6 linked regions of the Oryzias latipes genome follow. The protein of the gene in region 4 interacts with the protein of the main gene of each other region in a pairwise test. Links are inferred from orthologs where the notes say so. Each region holds a gene or a part of one and is shown on either strand. Other genes may lie near its edges. The genes, in order: nedd9, tfg, neu4, RNA-binding protein with multiple splicing, 5'-AMP-activated protein kinase subunit beta-2 and rhobtb3.

The links.
Region 1: the proteins of RNA-binding protein with multiple splicing (region 4) and nedd9 interact in binary tests that used the Homo sapiens proteins (3 or more experiments, as listed by UniProt). The two-hybrid records come from large-scale screens. The link is inferred for Oryzias latipes from reciprocal best matches to the Homo sapiens genes RBPMS and NEDD9.
Region 2: the proteins of RNA-binding protein with multiple splicing (region 4) and tfg interact in binary tests that used the Homo sapiens proteins (3 or more experiments, as listed by UniProt). The two-hybrid records come from large-scale screens. The link is inferred for Oryzias latipes from reciprocal best matches to the Homo sapiens genes RBPMS and TFG.
Region 3: the proteins of RNA-binding protein with multiple splicing (region 4) and neu4 interact in a two-hybrid assay, tested with the Homo sapiens proteins (2 studies listed by BioGRID and IntAct). The two-hybrid records come from large-scale screens. The link is inferred for Oryzias latipes from reciprocal best matches to the Homo sapiens genes RBPMS and NEU4.
Region 5: the proteins of RNA-binding protein with multiple splicing (region 4) and 5'-AMP-activated protein kinase subunit beta-2 interact in binary tests that used the Homo sapiens proteins (3 or more experiments, as listed by UniProt). The link is inferred for Oryzias latipes from reciprocal best matches to the Homo sapiens genes RBPMS and PRKAB2.
Region 6: the proteins of RNA-binding protein with multiple splicing (region 4) and rhobtb3 interact in binary tests that used the Homo sapiens proteins (3 or more experiments, as listed by UniProt). The two-hybrid records come from large-scale screens. The link is inferred for Oryzias latipes from reciprocal best matches to the Homo sapiens genes RBPMS and RHOBTB3.

The regions. Positions count from the first base shown.
Region 1 is NC_019869.2:19,404,888-19,409,180, forward strand, and holds the start of nedd9 (enhancer of filamentation 1), read right to left. Parts: upstream 2,801-4,293; 5' UTR 2,609-2,800; coding exon 2,597-2,608; intron 1-2,596. UniProt on the Homo sapiens protein: Scaffolding protein which plays a central coordinating role for tyrosine-kinase-based signaling related to cell adhesion. As a focal adhesion protein, plays a role in embryonic fibroblast migration.
Region 2 is NC_019879.2:8,948,540-8,952,039, forward strand, and holds part of tfg (protein TFG), read right to left. Parts: intron 3,093-3,500; coding exon 2,928-3,092; intron 2,847-2,927; coding exon 2,700-2,846; intron 1-2,699. UniProt on the Homo sapiens protein: Plays a role in the normal dynamic function of the endoplasmic reticulum (ER) and its associated microtubules. Required for secretory cargo traffic from the endoplasmic reticulum to the Golgi apparatus.
Region 3 is NC_019871.2:13,922,634-13,926,855, reverse strand, and holds neu4 (sialidase-4), read right to left. Parts: upstream 2,801-4,222; coding exon 2,600-2,800; intron 2,002-2,599; coding exon 1,746-2,001; intron 1,261-1,745; coding exon 314-1,260; downstream 1-313. UniProt on the Homo sapiens protein: Exo-alpha-sialidase that catalyzes the hydrolytic cleavage of the terminal sialic acid (N-acetylneuraminic acid, Neu5Ac) of a glycan moiety in the catabolism of glycolipids, glycoproteins and oligosacharides.
Region 4 is NC_019876.2:8,063,078-8,067,316, reverse strand, and holds the start of RNA-binding protein with multiple splicing, read right to left. Parts: upstream 2,801-4,239; 5' UTR 2,442-2,800; coding exon 2,379-2,441; intron 1-2,378.
Region 5 is NC_019875.2:22,987,785-22,991,959, reverse strand, and holds the start of 5'-AMP-activated protein kinase subunit beta-2, read left to right. Parts: upstream 1-1,375; 5' UTR 1,376-1,697; intron 1,698-3,165; 5' UTR 3,166-3,181; coding exon 3,182-3,340; intron 3,341-3,410; coding exon 3,411-3,568; intron 3,569-3,667; coding exon 3,668-3,761; intron 3,762-4,175. UniProt on the Homo sapiens protein: Non-catalytic subunit of AMP-activated protein kinase (AMPK), an energy sensor protein kinase that plays a key role in regulating cellular energy metabolism.
Region 6 is NC_019863.2:17,211,193-17,214,692, forward strand, and holds part of rhobtb3 (rho-related BTB domain-containing protein 3), read right to left. Parts: intron 1,228-3,500; coding exon 1,122-1,227; intron 442-1,121; coding exon 268-441; intron 1-267. UniProt on the Homo sapiens protein: Rab9-regulated ATPase required for endosome to Golgi transport. Involved in transport vesicle docking at the Golgi complex, possibly by participating in release M6PRBP1/TIP47 from vesicles to permit their efficient docking and fusion at the Golgi.

The sequences.
Region 1 (4,293 bases), on a different chromosome or scaffold from region 4:
CCCTGCACCCCCCTCACACTCCACCCCACAAAACGACTGTTTTCTCATGTTAATAAGGGCGTCTCATTTGAGGACACAAAGTGTGTGTGTGACTTGGGGGGGGGGTTCACTGTCGGCCTGAGAGAAGTTCCCACAAAAAACCTGCACAGGGGTAAAAGTGGACAAGAGCGTCCTGCAGCACAAGACGCCACTTCACAGCGGGAGTGGAGGTGGGGGGGTCATGACTTTTGGCAGAGACACAAATTATGTGCTAAACTTGACAGGGGGGGGGGGGAGGCGTTAGCCTCATGCTTTCACTGTTTGCACTTTTTGAGGAAAAGTATGCTCGCTTCCTGTAAACACACACACACACCACTGCATTTGCCCTCTCATTTCCCCATAACTTCCGCTCTTTTTCATTTTCTACAAGCCTTTCTGCTTCACAGCTCCTCCTCCTCCTCCTCCTCTTCTTCTTCTTTGCTCTCATAACAATGCTACCCCCACCTCCCCTGGACCTCACTGCTTTGCAGTAAACCACGGGCGGTGCACCCGCTGACTGCTATAGCCTTAAATTCCTGCCTGGGGTCCAACCGAAAGGCATCTGAAGCAATGTCTGAGCGGAACCTCTTGATGGTGTTGAGACCTCAGGTAACCGTGGCAACAAGAACCACCACTCTGCAGCCCTTCAGCACAGTTTTACAGATGCAGGATAGAAGTGGAGGAGAAACACTTTCGTGTCTGCACTCCTTTTTCCTTTCTGCTGAATGTCACTGGCTGCTCAATCCTCATTGTTTACATGTCGCTGTAGCCCCTTGCCACCTCCTTTTGGCTCAGCTGACTGTCAATCACACTGTCTGAGTCGGATTATTGAGATTTAAAGGAAGATTTGGATTAGATTCTTTAAGGAAGAAAGGTTTGGGCTTTCAGCGATGGACCACCTTTGGTCATGTGACTGGTCAGTTTGTTTGGGGCTCATTTAAAGTCAGTTTTAGCTCAGAATCATCGTCATCTTGGCTGGGTACGAAGAGCGAGCAGGACAAATGAGTTAGTTGTTGGAGCACGCTTAGTAAGATTCCAAAATCTCCTGGGAATCAAAAAGGAACACCCCATGTTTTGCCCGAATACTATCTCAAATTTAATGGACAGTGCCCCAAGTGGTGACCTGGTGAACTGACATGGCTCCAGTTTTTAAAGAACACGAGCACGAGTGGCAGCTCAAATGTTATGACTCGAACCAAACTGAACTTTTCTAGAAAAAAAACGGAGAACATCCGTGGAGAAACTTCTTGAAGGAAACAAGCTTTTTTTCCCCCTGGTTCATATTAAAGACACTTCCTGAAAACATGCTGGGGTAAACTTTAGAAAGCTTCTCAGATGTTCATTAACTGGGTTAGTAAAAGGTCACCTCCCGCCCCCTTTAGACTGAGCGTGCTCTGTTGCTCTGAGTCGGTGGGAACAGAACAAATGTGATCCGTGTCAGAGCAGTGAGACAGATCTGTTTCCAGGCTCTCACAGAAGCTCCTCTCAGCCCTTTCAGTGTTTTTCTTTCCTTGGATCATGTTTCTGCCTCTGCTCTGCGTGTGCGAACTCATCCGGGGGATTAGACGCATCATTGTGCAGTGCGTACGGCTCCTGGCCGCACCTGAACACCTGCTGGAAACAGTCTGACATCAGCTACGTGCCGCCGGAGCCCAGCTCGCTGTAAATAACTGACAGACGCAGTAAACCCTGCCACAGCCAGGAACTCGATCGTCTTGCTGTGACGTGACCCTGGTCCTCAGAAGGGCTACTTCAAAGCTCCAGCCACCCTCCACTCCCAAAAGGGATGTAGTAAACATAGGTAGACGTGTTTATTAATAAGCAGAATCCGTATGTAGAAGGGAGGGAAACCAGGGTGTCAAAGTACTCCCTGGAGACACCATTGTGGGTCACAGACAGTTGCTTACTGTTTATCTAAATGCAACCATGGAGACCAGGGCCTCTTTGTTGATGATGACTCAGTGAAGGCCTCAATCACAGCACTGACTAAAAAACTGAGCGTGATATTGTCCAATCAGTGACACCTGCCTGTCACAGCAATAACGCCAGATTATACACGAATGTCACAGCCATCAAAACCACCATCCTTTTTCCACACGTTCTATTAATATATATTATTGAGATGATGAATGTGGTGGATTCATTGAAGGATGCAACTTTTACATTTTTCTGAACACATCTTGAATAAATATTGATAATATGGAGAGAAATAGCAGAACAATTGACAATAACTTGATGTCCCCAAAGTATTTTTTTGCTTATGTTTTCTACAATTTAGAGTTTATGTAGGAGTTGATCATCTTCTTTACTTTTTTCCCCCCAAATAAAAAAGTTGGTAGATTTCAGGGGGGCTCAGTGGCATGGGGCGCAGAGGGGACCGCCGTGTTCTTGTAGACGCCCCTGCGCATCTTTCAAGATGAAGTTAACCGGATTCTGTACAGCTGAACCTCTGCCTCTGTTAAAAGACGTCCCCCACGCAGCCTCAGTCCGGATCAGCACTTTGAACAAGTTCCTGAGTTAAAATAAGTTCTAAACAGAACGTCGCTGACGGTAAAAAGAAGCCAATCCCGCCACTTACTTTATATTTCATCCCGCCGTGCGTGTCTGAAAATCAGGGGAAAAGTGACGGAAATCCTCCTGGACGCGACACAGGACCACTCATCTGAAGAACTGCCGATCCAGAGAAGGTTCCGTTTGGATTAACGATCCATCCGGCATCGGAGACAGAAGAACAACTCTTCCGAGAGTCTGTCCACCGACGTCTGAGCCGCTTCAGCAGACAGCAGCGGCTCTGCACCGCTCACCCCCAAAGCACGTCGTTGATTGGTCAGAAACCCACCACGGCCCCGCCCCCGCAAATCCCGTCCTCAGATCCGTGACGTCATTGCATGGATTTAAAAAAGTAAAAGCCGACTCACTCATGTAAGGAGGGTGACGGAGTCAAATCTGTCGTTCAGGGTGAAAGAGGGTAATGTGGTGAACCCTGGACGGGTCACTAGTACACCACCAGACATTAGTTTAGCACTAAGAAAACCCACACATGCGCAGAGAAACCACTCCACGCACGCTCAACTCGTAACAGGTCTAAGGTAAAAGTGCAAACAGCACCCTAAAGCAGCTGACGTCCCAATAAGGAGTCATCAGTCCGAATCATGATATATATGAATAATATTAATGAATAAATATTTTAAAATTTAAAAAATAGCTTTATAGTTACTCAAATTATTTTTTTAGTCCAGTTAATATTTTTAAATTCCCTCCAACACATTAGATACTTCTTACAAAACTGCATTAGTCAGTTGAAAATAATATCTTGCTATCTCTACAGGCTACATTATCCCATTTACTTATTCATCCTATTTGTAGTTCTTGAGAAGACCTGAGACTATGGAAGTTGACCTGTCTAAAGTCAATTTATAAAAAATCGTAAACATTTTTAACACAATATTTAATAAAATATTGGCCCCTTTAGAAAAATTTTGTTACCCACAATGGATGGGAAGTGACATCTTTCAAACCTAGAACCAAACAATACTATCTGGAGCCAGGTCAATTCAACAGGTAACCACTAGAGGGCGCGTTCACATCCTGTGGTCTCCAGTCCAGAAATAAAGTATTCAACCCAAAACAAATTTGTCAAACTCTCAAATCCAGAAAAGTAAAAACAACATTTGTGAAAAACTGATTTAAACAATAAAGTGGCATTCATTTGTGAGATGTACTTAGAACATGGACAAACACATTTTCAGGCTAAACTGGACAAAACAAAATCGGCATTTTTTTGATATTTTTGTTCTTTAGGAACATAAAACGTTTAGCTCATGAATCTCCAGTAAAGATAAACAGTCCCAAAACCCAAACCTGAGTTCAAATTCAAAAAATAAAACCATGCAGGGATGTTTTAGTCTTTGTTGACCTACAGGATTTAAATAGACAGGAATAGATCCAAACCTTCTTTCAGGACCCAAGAAAAACATAAACACATTATTACTTCAGTGAGGGGTGAAAAAATAAAGAATTAAAATGTGTGTGTGTGTATAAAAACGCCCCTCTCAGTCTCCGCGGGTGGTTTCTCCTCCAAGCTCGGGTCCTCTACCAGAGGCCTGGGAGCTTGAGGGTCCTGCGCAGTATCTTAGCTGTTCCTAGCACTGCGCTTTTCTGGACAAAGAGGTCTGAGGTCTTTCCAGGTATCTGTTGTAGCCACTCCTCCAGCTTGGGGGTTTACTGCCACATCCACCACAACGGCTTTCCTCTGTTCTTTGTCCACCACTACAA
Region 2 (3,500 bases), on a different chromosome or scaffold from region 4:
TTTTCAAGATATTCCAAGATTTTCCAGGATTTTCCAAGATTTTTTCTTCATTTAAATACATGGAGAATCCTTGAAAACCTTTGTTGCTTTCAAGCATTACAACTTTAACATGCTTTCAGCTAGAGGCACCGTTCAGACATTGAAATGCTCACAAGGCTTTGGACTTCAACATACGTTTTGAAATTATTATGGGATGGCAACACAACCTACTGTTTGGTGGGCATTTTTTGACAAAATCTGAAGCAAATGTTGCAATAAATTTCATCCATGGCTGGAACTGAACATATTGAAATTCACTGGATCTGGACATATAAGGAATGTGGGCGTGGTTAGCAAACAAACCTCGTTGCTAAGGACGTCCAAAAATTTACTTTTTCCGATTCATCTGAAACCGACGTTGATTTGTTCCTCATCTCCAGGCGACCCAAACATAAAATGGTTGCTATGGAGATAAAATCAATAGAAAAGCCGCCATTTTGAAAAAAGTGGATTTTCTATCAACTTATAACATGTAGCTTTTACCAATATAATACTCTCAAACAATGTGTTTTTTGGATTCAGTTGATGATGCTGATTCCAATGCTAGTACTTTTAGCCATTTTAGCAACATCTTCAAATTTTCAACAATTCAGCCATTTTTTCAACAATTTCAGCTTTCATGCTTAAGTCCTACAAATTTTGACCTATTTCAGCCATTCTACTATTACAATGTTCAACTTTTTCAGCTTATTCCTGCTAGGACTTTTGCACCTTTAACTTTTCATGGTTCTTCCAGTACAGTTCAGTTATTTCTTCAGCTAATTCAGCTTTCATTCAGCAGTACAGCATTCAACCCTGCATTTTCTTCTGGAAATGCAGCTCCTTCTAGTTTATGATTATTTTAATGTTTTGTGATCTATATAGCCTTTTTTAATGAATTGGTATTTTAAATTATTTTAATTAATCACTCCACTACAAAAACCATCAGGACACATGTCCCATAATGCATTGTTTTGTAGTCTGTAGGGCAGCTTTCAGTCAGTTCAGTTTTCAGCTGTGTCCGGGTAGGTTTGCCCCTTGCTCCCACCCCTTTCTCGCAATATTTTGTGATGATTGACAGTTGATGTTGGAGCAAAAACAAAAATATATGTCACACACCAGGTGATCTGCGCAGCGTTGAGTTCACCTGGGTGATCTCAAACACACTTATTGTGCATCTTGGCTGTACCTATTTGGTGTCACAAAGATGCTGCTGTCAGTTTACCTTCTTGTTGCATCTTCAAAAGAATGCAGAATAAAATGTGACACTGAATTTGAAACAGCACATTGTAATTTCTGCATCTATTATTAAAGTATTTATTAGTAATACAGTGGAAATTAGTAGATTTGGTTAGAATGTTGATTTACGGTATGCGCCCCTACATTTTCTGGTTGTGCCCCTAAAATTTTCAGTTAGGGGCCACTGTGCTCCTAGTGAAAAAAGTTAGTCTGGAGCCCTGACTAATTATAAGCCAAAGTTACAACACACTAAATACATGTTGCTATGCGAGAAGCACTGAACTCTGTGCAGGTTTTTAGCTGTTCACGTCATTTGGCATCAGAGTTTAGAATTGCATTGCTTCTTCAGATACTAATGCCAGTTTAACCCTGAAGATGGCTCAGGTATTTTTTACTGCATTGACCCTTTAACACTGGAGATGTTGCAGGCAGCATCTAAATAACAAACAAGTTAATCCAAATGGATTCTGTAGCAGAAAAAAGCGGCTTTGCGCCGATATGCTACACTTTATAAACAACACTTTATGAAGTAATGCATAACAGCCCAAAGCTGTTTTTATCTACAACAGAATCAGACGATTTATTTTGATTGTGTAAACACTTCACTGCTATAAAGTATTGCTAATCAGCACAAGTAGAGCTGTGACGGTGTCGAATTTTTCATCACCGCGGTGATGAACCACCAGGGGGCGCGGTGTCGCGGTTAACTGCTCCGCCTTTGTTTATACAGAAACGTCTGCAAAAAATAGTTCCCAAACAAAACATGTGGTGATTTTCATGGAAATCTAACAGTGCGCGTTCTTGTTTGGTGTTACGGATTGAAGGAGGACAGTTACACCCCCCCCAAACACAGAATCCTCCGGTGGGCGGCCGTGTCGCGCACTTAGGAACGCACGCAGCTTGTAATGGAAATGAATACAATGAAAATTAATAATTAGAAAGCAGTAAATTTATCGTATTTCCTCACGAGACGGAAACTTCTGGTGTAAAATAAGGATGTGTGCTTCTGAAATTGCGCGCCTGTTTGGGTAAACGGAGCCGCGTGCCACCTGCAGCGCGAAGGCAGACACTGAGAGCACGCGCGGTGGGAGAAAAGGAGACAACAGTCTGAAAGAAAGAAAGAAAGTCTGAACACAGGACTAGCATAAAAAGGAAATTATCAGCAAAGATGAATGTGTTTATTATAGTTCCAAACGCACCATATGCAAAACGTAAAAAAAAAAAAAAAGTGCGGTGATGCGGTGATGAGGTCATCACCGCGGTGATGAGGTCATCACCGCGGTGATGCGGTGATGCGGTTATTGTCACAGCCCTAAGCACAAGTCCACTTTCCTTTTCTTTAGAAATGGGTTAATTGTGTTGAAGAGTAGCCGAGAGAATGTAACCTGGAGCTAAAGCCCTGGTGTTACTGGGTTAAGCAGGTTTAGGTTGCACCAGCTCACCATCCATCCCAGAAGGCGGTCCCTGCTGTACTCCAGCATAGGCAGGCTGTGGCTGGGGGGGGACTCCCGGCTGAGGTGCAGCAGATGAGGATGAGGCGATGCTGTCAGGGGTTGCAGAGCGCTCCTCTGGTGCAACAGCAGGGGGAGCTGTGGGTGACAGGTGAACAGCAGAACATGATCGCTGTAGCCTGTGCGTTTGTGCATTTGTGATGGTGAAGCTCCCAGTACCTGGAGCCTGGTCCTCACTCAGGCCGAAAGCAGAGATGACATTCTTGCTGACCTCATCTTGGTTTTTCAATGGGTCAAAGGCCGACATGCTGGCTGCACTGACGGGGGGGCCTTTCACTGAGGGGTCGGCCGCCATGACTTTACCTTCACGCCCATCTACTGACTCTACAAACAAGACAAATGGGACACAAACAGATCAAAAAAACTGCAGTAAAGACTTCCAAAATGTTCAATGGGTTACCATCAAACAATTCATTAGACTTCTGAGATGCAAAGGAGTAAAAGTAAACATTTTGATAAAAGTAAAACCAACTCAAAAGGCCAAATACAATGACTTTAACCCCAAACTAAAACTATTCTTCTCTGACTGGCTCCAGCATGTGGGTGTGACCGTTTCATCAATTTTACTGCTGAAATGAAGGCTCAAACAAGCATGACATTCTCATTCTAATTGGCATCACCGACTGTAAATGAGAGCTGGACTGAGCAACCCCTCCCCCCGGCATTCTAAACAGGAAGTACCGAGTGGGTACAAGAAGCCAAAATCCCATAATTTCTGTATAGAAATTAACA
Region 3 (4,222 bases), on a different chromosome or scaffold from region 4:
GATAAAAAGCATAATGTCTCAGAAGCTTAAAGTTGCTAAAAATTCACTGACTAGTGGCAACCAAGAAAGCACCAAGAAACTTTAGATAATTGAAAAATATGAGCATTAAAAACCCCAACTACAAATGTTCTTAAGAAAAAGCAGCATTAAAATGGGCGTATACTAAAAAAAGCTTATGAAAGTTACAATCTAATATTTAATTTGCTGGAAAAAAATCACATACCCAGATGCACCTGAGGAGAGAATACATTGTTTTTAAAATGCTATTAATCAAAAGATACTTCGTCTGGATGTCATACATTTCAAACTGTGCTTAGGAAGAAGAACACATCTCGAGCAGCTTGCTCTTCTTCCTCCTCTTCTTCACGTGCGGCCTCGGCTGCACAGCAGGTGTCCTTTGGGTTTGCTGTTTACAGCTCCCGCTGGTCTGTCTGCAGTCATCCTCCCTGGGCTGTACATCCACGGGCAGATTGTCGATGAGCTCATAGAGGGTGAAAATGCTGAAGCAGATTTCATCGTAGGGGGTTTTGGTGCCGCACTCAAAGAGGCAGGCGAAGGCCACGGCGGGCACAGCTCCAGGTGAGGCTGACAGCTCCAGGTAGGCCAGATCAGAGTACGCGCTGGGACCCTCATAGATCACCCAGGGGCCACGCCAGCTGTCTGGATCACGTGGAAACAGGCTAAGGAACAGACCCAGATCCTGGCGGGCGGTGGTCAGTGTTGGATGGGAATACACCACCCAGGTAGGATTTAGGAAATCTGGATTAGGATGGTGTAGGTGCATGTTGCTAGTGTGGGATGTCCAGTGTCTGGAGACAAGACGCTTTGAGCAATTCTTCAGACTTTTGGATAAATGTAACGGGGCAGGAAATCCAACAATGCTACCATGACAACCATTTCGAGGCTCCACCAGTCGGGGCACCAGCTGCCCTGACTGGAACACAGCTCCGTCATCCAGACTGAGGGCTTGTACCCTGTATCCCAGAGGGCTTCGTGCGTTGCAGTACAACACGTTGGAGCCGTCTTCTTCATCCACAGACACCATCTGGCACTCCACGCTCTCTGGAGCTGGAATGGCTTCTCCAAAGCGCCAGCTCCTGCCGTGCGTGTCACTGTGGAAGCAGAAGGAGCGAGGAGTGGTCTGACAGAGGCGCCCCAAACACTCTTTGCACTCGATGTGATAGGCATAGGCAGGAATTAGCAGACGGCCCGACTTCAGCTGTAGGCCGTGACCCGGGCCCAGAGCAAACGTGGCCCAATCTGCTGGGAAGAAGGAGAGGAATGGGACTATGAAAAAACAGTTATAGCATGTATCATTTTCAGAACACAGCTAGCATTTTTCCCTAATTCCTATTTAATTGTTGGCAATTTGATAAAGATTTCCTCTTTTCCCATAGGAGCTCTACAAAGTGTGGTTTTTAACTAAAGATTGTTGTTTTTCTGTGCTTTAACAATATAAAGGTGGTTTCTATGCAAAAAGAGATCAGAAATGCAAATATCTTTTGGAGATAAATTAATGACTGAGTATCTTGGCCACTCTGATACACACAGAGGTGTATCATGTATCATGAGGTGTATCAAGTTTTTGGGGCTTTCAGAAGTTTTTTTTTTTTTTTGTCTGACTTCGTTTTCATTTGAAGTCCAGAGGAGAAATAAACATCTTAGGCTTCATTTGTGCTGTTTTTTTCTTCATCTCAAAAAGACTATCCAGATTAAAAATCTGTTCAAAGTGGACATGTTTAGACCTTTAATGGTGTCTCCTATGACTGTCTTGGTCAAGTCGGTGACTGGACTCCAGGTGTCCCCCCCATCGGTGCTGGAGATGTAGCAGAGCCGGGTCACGTTCTTCCCCGTCACCAGCTGGTAGGACTCTGACGTGTGGCCGAGAACAGCGATGAAGAAGAGGAAGAGCGTTCCCGTGAAGTCATCGAACACTGGACACGGGTTCATGGACCTGTGGCCTGGAAGGTAGGCAGTGCCCAGAACACTGATGTTGCCCCACTGCCACAAAAATCAGTTAAGAGACAAGGGCAGAAAAAAGTATACGTAAAAGAAATGAACTGATAAAAAACTAAATATGATAATAGACAAATTGTGTTGCAAATATTACTTTTATATAACTGTGTTATATTACTAAAATTTCCTAGTTGAATCTTCTGGAGTCTTCAGTGAATGCCAGTTGTCTGACTCTTTCCTAGGTTCTTCATTTTTGTCTTGCATAAGAAGATTGGTGTTTACACTTGTGTAATTATTGTCTTATTTTAGATATCAAATCTTACTCTATAATCTGTAAATACACCATCATCCTGCAAAAACAATTGTTGCCTCTTATAATTTGTTTTTTAATGTATTTTTGGACATCACTGTGTTCTCCAAACTGATGCTTTTTGTTGTTTTAAACACAATATGGACATAAATCTAAATAAAAAAGAGAAAGGTTTGTTCTGGCTTTTGCACTGTGTGTGTTTTATCCTTTAACTTATCAGAGTGCTGACAAAAATTATATTTGGAGCAGTGCAATGTCAACACAAGCAGAATTTAAAGCAAAACTTTGTGTTTCTGACCGTTAAAAATCACCGCACTCCATCCTATCACAGACCTCCACATAGTTTCTGTAGAAAGTGCCTTTCCTCACAACAAGCAGGTGAGCCTGGGAGTCAGACGGGCTGAGTCTCTCCTCACAGAAGGCCAGGAATGTTCTGTTGCGGGGCACGTAGATCAGAGCTGGGACTCTATACGTCACTCCATTGGACTCTTTTCGGAAAAGCACTGATCTCGCTGGGAAATAAGGCGACCTCATGCTCCAGCAGGACTGTGTGACACTTCCTCAAAGCAAACCCGGAGATTTTCTGCAAAAACGTAAAAATCAGAACCAGCTTTCATTGAAAAATATAGCATGTACATGGGGTGGTGCAAAATACAGAATTAGGAAAAACAATAATTGCCTCAGTAGAAATTATTGCTTTTCTCAATTTTTGATTGGCTTTTATGTGGAATGATAAACATGAATATATTCCACACACGAACAAACATACATTATTAGAAAATGTATCAACTGTGAACAAACCCCAAAAATAAGAATTTATTTCATGATTTCAAAGGTAAACTTGATGAAACAATCCTGAAGAAAAGTCAGGTGACAGAAAAGGTTTTGTTTCTTACTGTCTAAGCTGTCAAGTTTACTTTAGATCCCATTAAAGGAATGAATTAAAAATGAAATGGTAGCACGGGCATTTGTGTAATTAAACGTAGCTTAACCTTTAAAGTACATACTTTATAAGACTAAATGTATCTTGATTGTAGCAACAAAGACTTAACTGGCTGAGTTTTAAATTGTGAGACAATCTCTTCTCTTAAGAGTAAAAATGACATTTATCTGCACATTTTCTCACAATTTTTTAAATTAATGTCCAGGGCACAATGGGGAAGTAGATATGAGTCCTTACCTTTCCAAAGTTCAGAAAGAGCTGCAGCTACTTTGTGTTGGTACAGAGAGTGTTGGGTTTTGGGGATGACAGTGCAGTGAGTTTGTGTATTCCACAGAGGATCTGAAAGCCATGGTCTGTTCTCTCTGTTCACCGCAGCAGCACGGCATGCTGCTCACTGACCCAGAAATGAACACTCATCAGATCTACAGCTTTGGATGAATCAGCGGACAGTGGTCATTGTGGAAAAGATGGCAGAGTGGGAGGGGTCAATCTGAACAAAGAAGTTATGATCTGCCCTCTATGTATTCTCTCTCTGCTTCCCTTTGTCTTCTCATTGCACAGCGCCTGGGAAATAAATAGGTGCTTCTTTCGGTTCAAAGCTCTTCACTGCTAAACTTCCCTTCAAAATGTATCAAAGGTCTATTGAAACTGTTCAACAGTTAGTCTGTATATGTACGTTCTCATATTAGCACCAGTACTGTTCCATATCGTGACTGAAATGTAGAACATTTACGGTATTTATGCATAGAACACAAAAACATAGTGCATTAAAAATTAAGTAAAAACAGAAAAAAGCTTTCAAACAAAGTGTCAAAAATCTTCTTTAGACTCACATGCAAACAATAAATATAAAAAATAGATCACATTGATTCATCAAGGTTCTCTGTCTCTACATGTGAGTTTATCAACATAAGTGTCCAATGCCAGCCATTGTGCATAAATGTTATTGATGCCATTTAAATTTTCCTTTTGCATAAAAATATCAAACTTCAAGAATCCTGCACTGAACTTTT
Region 4 (4,239 bases):
TGAGGGGAGGTGGCATGAGGACCGTTGAGGCCGTTGTTTGGCATGAGAGTCACACAAACAACCAGACTGTTAAACTTTGGCTCATCATAAGGTTAGTTTATTGATACGTAGGTGCAGTAAAGCAGAAAGCTGTTAAGCATTTAGTGCCTGCAGTGAAACTGGAAGGGGGTTCTGCATTTTAATGTGTAAAATGAGGCCGTTTGAGAAAGCTCCACACCAGCTTAATGCCTGGATGAATCAAGGAGGGGGGGGAAAAGGCGCATTTACGTGTGCAGAACTGGGTTCGGCTTCACTTCCAAGCCCCCAACCTTGCCGCTACTCTTGCATGCAACACACATCATTACACCCAAGATAAAGTGGGGGCTGTCTAACCTTACGCTAATCCATTCAAGTGAATTTAAGTCCTCGCTCGTCTGGATGGCGTCCAAAATGCTTCCACATTAGATTCCTCTGGCCATTACTCTCCCCGTCTCTCTTACGAAAAAAAAAAAAAAGCAACTCGAGACAACTCACGTCCGGTGAGTCCGCTTGAGTACTACTTTTCCAGCCGGACGCAGGTCGAGAGAATCATTTTTCTACTCGCGTCAGGACTGTTGGGTCTCTTTGATGTCCAACGTCACAAAAACACTGCCGATTTAGCATAGGTTCAAAAGAGGAAATCTAACCTGAGAAAACCTCCATTTGAAAGAGGGAAAACATGAAACCTGGGCCCCTTTAGGATAAATCATTCAAGTACAGTTTTCTCTATTCCAACAGAAGCTCTAGACCCCCTTTGTTTTAGCAATCCAGAGGTTATCGGATGGGCCAAAACTAACTATCGATTGCTTAAGTCGTTTGTTAACCAAAAACACACAAACCTTTTTTGCCCCATTGATAAAAAGTGATCTTTATTACTATTTGTCCAGTAAAAAAAAAAGAACAACCCAGAGCTCTTCTAAATAAAAATACACTTTTTTTTAAAGGGTTTCGGGAACTCTTGAGGGTACAGAGACCTCTGTCACAAAAACACTAATGAATAGGTTCAAAAGGTGAAATCTAACCTGAGAAAAGCTACATAAGTAAGAGAAAAAACAAACTTGGAACACTTTGGGACAGATGACTCAATATTTTCCAACAGAAGCTCAGGACACCTCTTGTTTTTAGGTATTGGGAGGTTATCTTATTGACAAAAGCCAGGTATTGATTCATTAAGTAGTTTATTACCTAAAAACACACAAGCGTATCTTTGTCCCATTGATAAAAAGTAATCTTTATTACTATTTGTCCAGAAAGAAGAAAAAAAACCTGAGCTCTACCACATAAAAATGCATTTTTTTCAGGGTTTCGTTAACTCTATGGGGGTACACAGACTCCACAGTAACCAACAAAACACAGTCTTACATCAGTTCGAGTGTGTTGGGTTATTATCAGTCAGTGAGTAACATTCTGCTGAGTTTTAATCAAATTACTCCAAGAGAAATAATCTGATCTACCTTCCTCCCTTCCCTCGGGTGCAGAGGCGGGTTCTGAAACAACAAAGAGCTCGTGCAAATCGGTTCCAAAACCGAACCAAAAAGACGCGGATGGACTCGAACCAAGGTCAAGAAACCGAGCGTTTATCTTCTGACAAATACACGTTAGTGTGTTGTGTTTAGATCCAGATGCGGGACGAGGCTCCTGTTGTTTGACTGTGAGGTAGGATTACATAGAGTCATTGCCTACATGTTGCAGCATTAGTTGTTTGAACTTCAATGCCTTGCTCATCTTCAGTGAGAACTAAGTCTCCCTGACTGCATGGCTTTTCAGTAAACTGTAGCCCACAACCTGCCTTCAAATTAAGAAACAGTCATGTTTTAATGAGTAAAGCAATTATTGCATTAAAGAAGGGGCCGATCTCAAAATGAAATGCATTTTTTTTAACATTTTCACCCATAAACCAATTTTCTTTGGTCACAAAAACCTGTTTTCACCCAAATTGCAGTTAAAACTGAACCAGGACGAAACTTTCGTTTATAAAATTTTACATTATAACTAAAAAAAAAGCTGTTTTTCATGAAAAAAAAAATCCACTTTATAGAGGGAAAATGGGTATAAACGTACATTTATTGATTGAAAAACGTTATGTTTCAGCCCAATAACAAAAGAGAAATAAAAAAAAAATAAAAAAAAGGTTAAAAAAAAAAAAGAAAATATAAGGGAATGACTGACATCTAACTTTAATGAAACCATAAGGATGTTAAGGTCAAACATCTGGATGTGACAACTTTTAGTAGGATAAACTCGACTCTAATTGACTCGGGTTCACCTTAACAGGTAGAACGCGGGTGGCCGGGAAGGCTAAAGCGGCTACACCGCCTAACAAGTAGTTCTGGCGTCTGATTTAAGGTGGAACCGCGTACCTCCTCTTCGTGGTTGGTGAATTCAGTCGTCTCGTTCTCCTTCTCGGTTTTGTTGTTGTTCATCCTGAGCCGCACTCGTGTCGCTCTCGCTCGGGACGGTCGTCTTCTGGTCTCGGTCTCTCCTCCTCGGCTCCTTCGTTGGATTCGACAGGACAGGCAGTCCGCGCGCGCGCCCGCTGTCCCACTGACCCGAGCTTCCTTCACTTTTAGTTTTGCCACATGAATCCCACTAAATGCCACCCCCCGTTCCTTCCTTCTTCCTGCCTGCCTCGTGTCTTTACCACTCAAAGCGGGGTGAGGTGAGCCTGCGGGCGGGTATTCCTCAGCATTCCCTGGAAACCAGAAGCCCCTGTCTCCTCAACAGTCAATGCTCGCTGGACCGAGCCGCAGGCAAACTTCTCTCCCCATCTCCGCGCGCGCGAGGGAGGGGTTTAGGGTGGGGTAAGGAGTGGGATGCGCCGCAGCCCGATCAAGATTTATCAAGTAGCCTCGTGGAGGGAGAGCTTCAGTGGAAAATCAGTATCAGTCAACTTTAGGACCAGCTGCGTGTTATTTTAGTCCCGGCAACATTCCTGAGATAGTCTTTCAATGTGCTGGCTTATTTATTTTATCAGGGACAATAGGTTGAGTTTCTTTTTTTTGTTGTTGTTGCTCCAAAGAAATGTATGAAATATTTCTACATTATCAATAAAGAAATTTTCAATTTTAGAATAATTGTGTCAACCGTGTAAAGCTTGTCGTCCTGGTTATCTTGTTCGATTATTATTTTCAGATAATCAGTATTATGCTATACATTTTTGAGAATTTTAAAAATTCAAATCGTTGTGAATCAGGAGATGAAGATCGTATTTGTGATGTCAGAAATACGCTGGGTGGGCGGCTCCGTTCTGACGCATCCCTTGTAGACGACTAAATCCATGTACGTCTTGGTATGGTTGTATAGCTGTAACACTGCTTGCCATTTTTCTTGCACTGCTAATGTCAGGTTGGGGGTGTGAGGGGCTTGTAAGGTAGTGGGAGAGAGTGTAAACAGAGAGCTCTCAACAACGGGGAGGGTAAGGGGGAGCGGGGTTGCTCCATGCCAGCAGTCCCGCCCACATGTCAGAGGGGAATTTCTAATGAACTACTGCCGCTTTGCAGAAACTATGACCAAGAAACCAACACAGGTTTTTTGGTTTTGGAAAACGGTACAATCATAATTAAAAGACCACTGGAAACGCTTTAAAAAGAGCTCAAAAGATGAGCGGATGGGTCTTTCAACCCTTTAACATCGGAGATTTCGCTGGCAACAGCTGAACAACACACGCCCTTTGATAAGGGCGAATCCCAATTCTTCCCCTACCCCTACGGCTTCTCCCTACCCTTCCAATTGTAGGGGCTTTTGGAGGGATAGGGTTGTCCGAAATAGTTTTTTAATGGCTAACCCATGGCTGCGGAGGGATGTCGAGCCCTAAGTAATGACTTTTTCCTTTAGCCTGACGTTTTACATGTTGTTAGGTATTTCCGAGCACCAGCTGCTCCGTGCTAACGTAGCTGACCAGCGACTGTTCATGATGTTATTGAATGGGAGTAACGTCCGAATTTGAAGGCATTATGTTTCTATAACTCTCCGTCTGGGGGACTAAATGTAGGGGTAGGGGAAGAATCTGGATTTGGCCTAACTCTATGATCGTTTACCAAACCAATGGGAATCAGCTAAATCTGACATGGAGAAAAACAGCTTTTCTTTTGGGCTTTGCACAAACATGCAACACATTATAGTAAAACGGCGCAAAGCCAATTTTCTTTGTTTAAGAATTCGCTTGAATTACGTTATTTAACGATGAAAGAGTTACAGTTGCCAATACTTTTGGTAGTAATA
Region 5 (4,175 bases), on a different chromosome or scaffold from region 4:
TTCGCCCATATGAATCAGGTTGAAAACGCCTCAATTAGTAACTGCTTTACAGCAAATGTTGACCAATCAGGGCTGTCTGGTCTTTTAAGGAAAGGAGGCTTTTAAAAAATAAAAGTAAGAAAATAGCATCATGAAAAACATATCAGGGGATAATACTGTCATGTATCAATTTTTTTTCTTTTATATTAAAGCATGTAAAAAATTTAGGCAAATAAATTCATGAATATCAAAAATGAACATCAGAAATATGGTCTTTCGTTAAAATTTAAAAATGAGTGACAGAATAAAAGTGTTTGGACATAAATCCATTGATGTTCTTAACCTGCTGTATCCCTTTCGGGGTCACAGAGTCCCCAGAGCCTGTCCCAGCTGTTGGGCGAAGGTGGGGTACACCCTGGACTGGTTGCCAGTCGGTAATGGAGCCACACACTCATAGCTACACTAAGGGACACTTTAGACTCACCAATTAACCTATAAAGCATATTTTCGGACTTTAGCATGAAGCCAGGGTGCCTGGAGAAAACCCACACAGAAAGGTCCCAGCTGGTATTTGGACAAGGACCTTCTCGCTGTGAACTAAGAGCACTCACCGCCACAGTACAGCCCTGGACAGAAATACGCTCACTAAAAAATAAACAAAATTCAATTTCTCAGTTAATGTTGTAACTTAAACTTTTTAAAACATTTTATAAACACCCGCAACCAAAGCAGTTGTGATGTGATAGGTGAGCTGATATTGTAGTAACAAATTGCTGGGGAGGGGGGGGGGAATCACACCTTATCATTTCCACAATGTCATTTAAATCATTTTGTTTACCTTGATGGAAAAAAAGCTATGATAGAATGAAAAATGCCAGGGATGTCAACTCAGCTGTTTTACCTAAAATACAGTGTATTAAATTAAGTAATTACAACCCCCCTAAATAATTAATCACTTTGAATCGAGAGTACACATAGACAACAATACATATTAAAATGAATGAGAAACACTTATGCTCATTGCATTAACGTCATTAAATGACTTAAGTAACACAATAATTTGTATTTTTTTATGCAAATTAGGGTAAATCTTTTTTTTATTAAATAAATAGTATACTTGATACATCTATATGTTACATTTTATAGTATAAAAATGTCTTTTAATTTCATTTCATTTTATTTGTAAAAAAAAATTACATTGACTAAATTGTACATTATTTGGATAATTTTACTACAACCACTATTAAGAAGAGACACGACACCAAATAAAGAATTAATTACATTTATTTAAGTATTTGTAAAATTTCATAAAAATGTTTTTTTTTTTGTTTGTTTGTTTACCGGATGTTGTTTTTGTCGCGGCTGACTGCTTTTTTTCCTTTACCGACCGCCGTAGTTGTAAAAAGGGGAGGATCTTCGCTGGTGTCACAGACTTTCCTGCTGCTCTTCAACACAAATCATCGCCTCAGCAGCGATAGGCCGAGCTTCTAACCCTTTTCGGTTCTTTTAAATGACTAAAAACAACAACAAGTACTCTATCAAATTAGTTAAATTGTTTTAGTTGTTATTTACACAGTGAAAGGAGTTCCCGGTTCGAAAGCAGAGTGACAGCTAGCTAGCTGCTAGCTGACTTTAACAGCGACCAGCAGCTAAAAATATTCACCAGGACAGTCGCGAGGTAGGCGGGCACAGCAAAAGCGTCCTGCGCAGTTACCACGGTAGGTTACAAATAGTGTGTTTTGTCATACGAACTAAGCTTTTTATTGATTCGCAAGTCATTCGGTTGTAGTTAAAGCAGATTTTCGAAGGGACCCATCTGTGTCCAGGGAAGTTCACTGATAGTTCATGATGCTAAAAATACCTTCTAAACGTGGGTAGGTTAGCTGTTGTGAATATTTTTATTTTCTTTATAATCTAAAGATAAACGTATCGTTGTTTTCCACATCATTAGGCTGTTTTGTTTTTTGATTGATTTATTTTTAAATATGACTCTGGATCATCCTTAGTTCTAAGAAGAAAAAAACAACAATCACAACTGATGATTTGATGTTTTTTATAGCTATAACTTTAACTCTCACGAGTAACACAATTTTAGTTTATTTTCTGTAAAACCAGAGTGTGACATATGTGAATGTCACACAATGTGACATAAAGCGAAATAGGATTTGCTGTTTGTTGACTAAAGCCAAGGCTGATCAGTGTTCCATGAATCCAGCAGTGTCACGGTGAACCCACCAGTCTACAGTGTTCAGCAAACACCTGCGCCTTTGTAGTAAATAGAAGCTTTTGTGCCCTGAGCTTTTAGTTTTTTCTTTTTTAATTTGATCGTTTATCTATGTTGTTCACTGAAACCTCCTACTATTTTATCCTTTAAAATTAAGACATCTTAGCTTGTAAACTAATTTGAAGTGATGGACTTGATTATAGTGTGAAAGGTTTATACTGCTCATTTCTATGTAGGGGGAGGGGGGATCAGTGTCTCTGTGGGGACGTAAAAGGTGATGCTTGTGAAAACAAGCACCATCATGTGATCAAAATTCAATTAGAAGTTGTATTCTCTTTTAGGTTTTTAGTAAAAAGTACATTTTACTATGATTATTATAGAATAGTTGCATGTCGTTAACTTAAACCAATCTTATCAATGTTTTATGATACAATATTTTTTAAAAAGCTTACTTTGGTACTTAAGCAATTTTTGCCTAACATTACTTTCTTGTAATTTCTTAGTAATATGAAACAAAAGTTATCCTAGAGTTCGCTTAAATCAGATCATCTTTACAGAGTTCACTTTTTTTTTAGCAAGGGAGTTGAAGTCAGTCTGGCTCTTTACTTGGTTCAAATTAATAACTGAAAAAGGAAAAATAAGGAGAGGAAAAACTGTCACCAGATGCATTTACATGCCCTTAAGAAACCGAGTGAAACTGTGTTTACAGAATAGTTTCAAGTTTGTTTTTTGGCATTAATCTGCTCAGTGAAAAACAAGTTTTTCAGAAAAGACTTACATTGTAAACTGTTTGAAAAGACGACAAAAATCCTCTATGAAAGCAGAAAATAATAGAAAGCATCTGATAAATATGAATAATAAATATCCTCAATGCAAACATGAATGAACATTTGTCATAAAAGTGTTATAAATAATGGTTTAGTTCCCACTTCAAGAGTTTCTCCCCCCTATATTTTGCACAGTAAGCAGTGAAGCATCATGGGTAACACAAGTGACAGGGTATCTGGAGATCGGCATGGAAACAAGGCCCATCGTTCCGACAGCAGCGGCAGCCACAAAGACCAGGAGCACAGCACCAAGATGGTGGACAGCACAGATGATCCCAACATCTTCAACACCTATGGACCTGAGTCTAAAGTAGGAATCCAACTACTTCACTATATAATCTCATTTCTTTCATATTATAAATATTTATGTTTGCTGTTAGGGGCTAGGAGATAAAGAATTCACCCCGGATCTGGATGACCTGGTGAAAACTGCCTCCCAGGCCCGTCCCACAGTGATTCGCTGGGGTGGTGGGGGGAAGGAGGTTTATATCGCAGGCTCTTTCAATAACTGGAACACTAAGATTCCACTGAATAAAAGGTAAACCGTTGGTTTTACATCAGTTATACTGGTGTCGAATGTGTTTTGAAGTTTTGTCATCGTTTTAATATTGTTTGCTTTTTCTTTCCCTCCTCAAAGCCATAATGACTTTGTTGCCATTTTGGACCTGCCTGAAGGAGAGCACCAGTATAAGTTTTTCGTGGATGGACAGTGGGTTCATGATCCTTCAGAGGTACCCGAGTCATTTTTCTGTGCTTGTAGTTTTTGTGGAAAAAAGTTTGAGCTCTGCTGGTTTCTGGGTTGCAGTCAACATCAAAACCTAAAGGATTAACTGAAAGCGTTAACAAGCTAATTTGCTGGCAACAAGTCATCTTAACTGAATATGAAGTAACATGGTTGAAGCAATAGGAAATGTTTTCTTGGAGTATAAGTCAGTAAGAACAGATTTTAAGCTTGGCATTGGTCAAAACTTGTCAACTAACCCATCTAAAACAGATTGGACAGGATGGTTCTGTATGTTTTATAATTTCATTTTTAATTGTTTTTTTTTACCCCTTATTCATGCAAATATTCATTAAACAACTTCTGCTTCAAACTTACCTTAATCTAGCATCAACTTAAAAAGCACAAGCATTAGTGAAATTGT
Region 6 (3,500 bases), on a different chromosome or scaffold from region 4:
TGTTTCTAAGATTTGTTGCAGTTCTGTGAGACTGACAGTGGTATGAAAGCTGAAGGGACTCATCATATGTGCTTTTGTCAGAGGCTTCGACCCATAACACAAACGCTGAAGTCCACTGCACCTATGCACTTATGTGAACATCTTTTTACACCATGCAATGGGACTTTTCCCATTTACAGACTGAAGTAATCAGGAAATGTTCTGTCCTTCTTTTACTCCCCTCTGTCCGCTTCTCTGAAAGTTCATCTAGAATTGGAGGAAACTCACCAGGACAGCAGGAATCAGTGTAGAGGTACTCAAGGAAAGATAGGAAGGTGTCAGAGGAGACGCCATGGATGGGAACCACTCTGCTCCGAGCCTCTGCATACTTCCCACTGAACATGGCCGCCATGACGTCACAGCGGGCAACTAGGACGGCCCGGTGAGCCGGCAACACGCTACCTATTTGATAATGAAAGAAATTACAACAATAAAGGAACACCTGGCAATTTATTAGTTTAGATTTAGAATATTCAAACTATACATCAGCTCATAGTGAATGTGTACTCCTCAAAAGAAAACCTCTTCAGATCTGAAACGGGCATCTCTGTCATTTCTTTCGGTGGGCTTTTGCTTGTGACAGCCAAGTCCAAACTCTAAATTAAAACGCGATTCTTATTGATGAAGTCTTGAACATAAATACAGATTAAATGCATTTCATTTGGGTCTTGATGTGTGTTTGGCAGTTGCAGCACTTATTTAACCTTTTCAAAATTCCACATGAAATAAAACAGAAATGATCTTTTATGAAACATTAAATAGGTATTTCTCAATGACTTCTCAGCGGTTCTACTAGCACTTTGGAATAGAGAGGAAAAGCTCTCTGCACTTTTCATGATAAATGTTTATGAGGTGAGGTTTCAATGCATTTTTTATTTTGGAGGAGTAGAGGAGCGGCGGCCATCCTAAAACATGAGGGGAATCAAAATTAAAAAAAGGACATCACACTGATGGTTTTTTGCCTCTTGAAATGACAGAGCAGAAACTAACATTAAAATGTAACTAAAAGTGAAAAAACTGTGACTCTCCTGTGCGGTGGGAATCTGAACAGAAGTGTGTCTTGGTGATCAGTCTGCCCCCACCTTGCACCATGAAAATGACGTCCGAATAGAGAGGAGAATTGAAGAGGTTGACCAGAGTCTGAGGACCGAGCTGAGCTGCTCGTGCACTTGGCGTGTCCCTGGAGCTCTACAGCAGGAAATCAAATAAATCAGGGTGTTAGCATTCCTCTGATGAAAGTCAGGTACTTGTTAACAGGGGGGAAAAAAACCTGCTATTTGGAGCAACTAACTCGCCTCTCACACGGAATACAGATAGCCTCTCTGTCAGTGTGGCTTAGCATTACCCAACACTCTCAAACTCCAATGCCAGAAGCGACACGCCTGGAACTGGCTAACGCTGAGAACAGCGTGGGGAAACAGACGGTCCTCCAACCCACCTGTTGTCAAAGCAGCCACGCTCAGCTGATACACTTTAATGAATGTAAAATAAAAAACACACCACCTGTACTGTCAGACAAGGTTTTGTTGACTTGAAATAATTAGCACAACCTTTCGCAGTTCCATTAGACACAGAAAAACCCTTCCATCGGCATGGCAACAAAATCCAGACCTTTGATTTTTGCAAATTAATAGAAAACATTCAAATGGTATCAAACGACACAGAGGTGTCCGTAGAAGCGCACATCAAACAGGATGTTATGGTGTCTCATCACATTAAAAAAAGCTCCTGCAGCCCTGTGCATCAGACTGACTCAAAACAGCCTCAGGTGTTTTGTTCCAGCCTGTTGGTTTGTATGCCGTGCATGGTGCCAAAAGCCTTGTCAGACACATCAATTTAGTGTTGCCCAACTCTGAATGTTAAGTTGGCCGCTTCATATATATATAGAGAGAGAGAGAGAGACACCTGAAACCTCAAAGGTATCAAGTCATCTCAGTACATTAGAATCCCATCAAGAAATTATTTATAGTCAAAAGGTAAAGGTCACTATGATTCATTCACACAGAGGGACATTTAAGGTGTCTACTTCCTTTAGTTTTGAAGATTATAGCCATATTTAAAAATTCTGTACCTCAAATTATTAAATACTTTAGAGTTAGTTAGAAAATGTAAGAATTGTACGGTATGGAAGGGATTCATCTGCATCCCCACTGAGGTTTTATAGATGTCACGGCTGATCTGACAGAAGCCTTCAGCTCTTTTGGGTTGTTGGGTCTCTCCAGAGATGCTCACAAGTTCCTTTCTGCAAGTTCAAGTCAAATCTTCAGCTGTTAATTCAATTCAAGTCTTAAAACCAGTAAAATGAATATTTCATCAGAACAAATAGTCAATAAACCACTTTTATTTGGAAATCTGACCACAAGTGATGGTGTAAGAAATGTAAATACAATGAAATGTGTAACCCTTGTGCTATCCTAGGCACTTTAACATTGGGAGTTGGGTCATCTAGACCTACTAGACAGTGCGCTGAACCTTTTTTCTTCAATGATTTGTGATCTTCACTGGTGTCCAAGGATTACATGAAATCTTTCCACCTTTATCCACATTTGTCATTGTAGGAATAACACATCAATGTAAGGGTGGGGTCATCTAAGATAGCACAAGGGCTAAAAGGGAGCAGACAATTATAAGAATTGTATTCTTCAACTGTGCTCCTTTTAAATCATGAAAATGTTCAATATTGTAAGACAAACATGTAAACATATTGGACGATCGATAATTTTCATGAAAGGAACAAATAAATAAATGAAAAATGAAATTTCTTAAAGCTGAAAAATTATAATAAACATCAATCACAAGTCCCTGTGTGCTAGACTTAAGTTTGAGTCTTAAGTCCAAGTCCCCAAGTCTCTGGATCTACTGTGGCTTCTTTCCTTTCAGCATAGATTTGACAGGGCTCTAATGGCTGATCACAGAAGTTGGAATTTAAGCAGAATAGTCAACTACCTCATCCAGCTACAACTATTTACATAAAGCTTGTCAGTAGAAGGAAGCAGATGTGCTCTTAGACTTCCTGTTAAACCACTGCACTTAAATTGAACCTGATGAAGCACAATGGAGGACATGGCTCCCCACCAACAGGGAAACACTCAAGGAATTTAACAGTCTGAGACTCATTTTTGACTCTAATAAAAAGAAATGCAAAATCTCTTTTCATATGTAGAGGTGACTTTGGATCACTCAGAAAATGTTTTCTCTTTGCCCTTAGCCCTAGTCCGACGTTTTTTCCCTGTTCAGAGTGGCTTGACACAAAAAACGTTGCAGCAGAAGTCATTCGGATGTGTCAACATGTGATGGCTCTCAAAGCACAAACTCCAGCAGCTGTCCACTTCTTATGAATCTGTCCTAAAGCCTTGAGCTTTGCTTCAAAATCCTCTCAGTGCTGCAGTCAACTTTACATTTTTTCCCATAATTCATTTTTCTAATGCAGACCTTGGTGAGCAGTCAGCCTCTTTTACCCC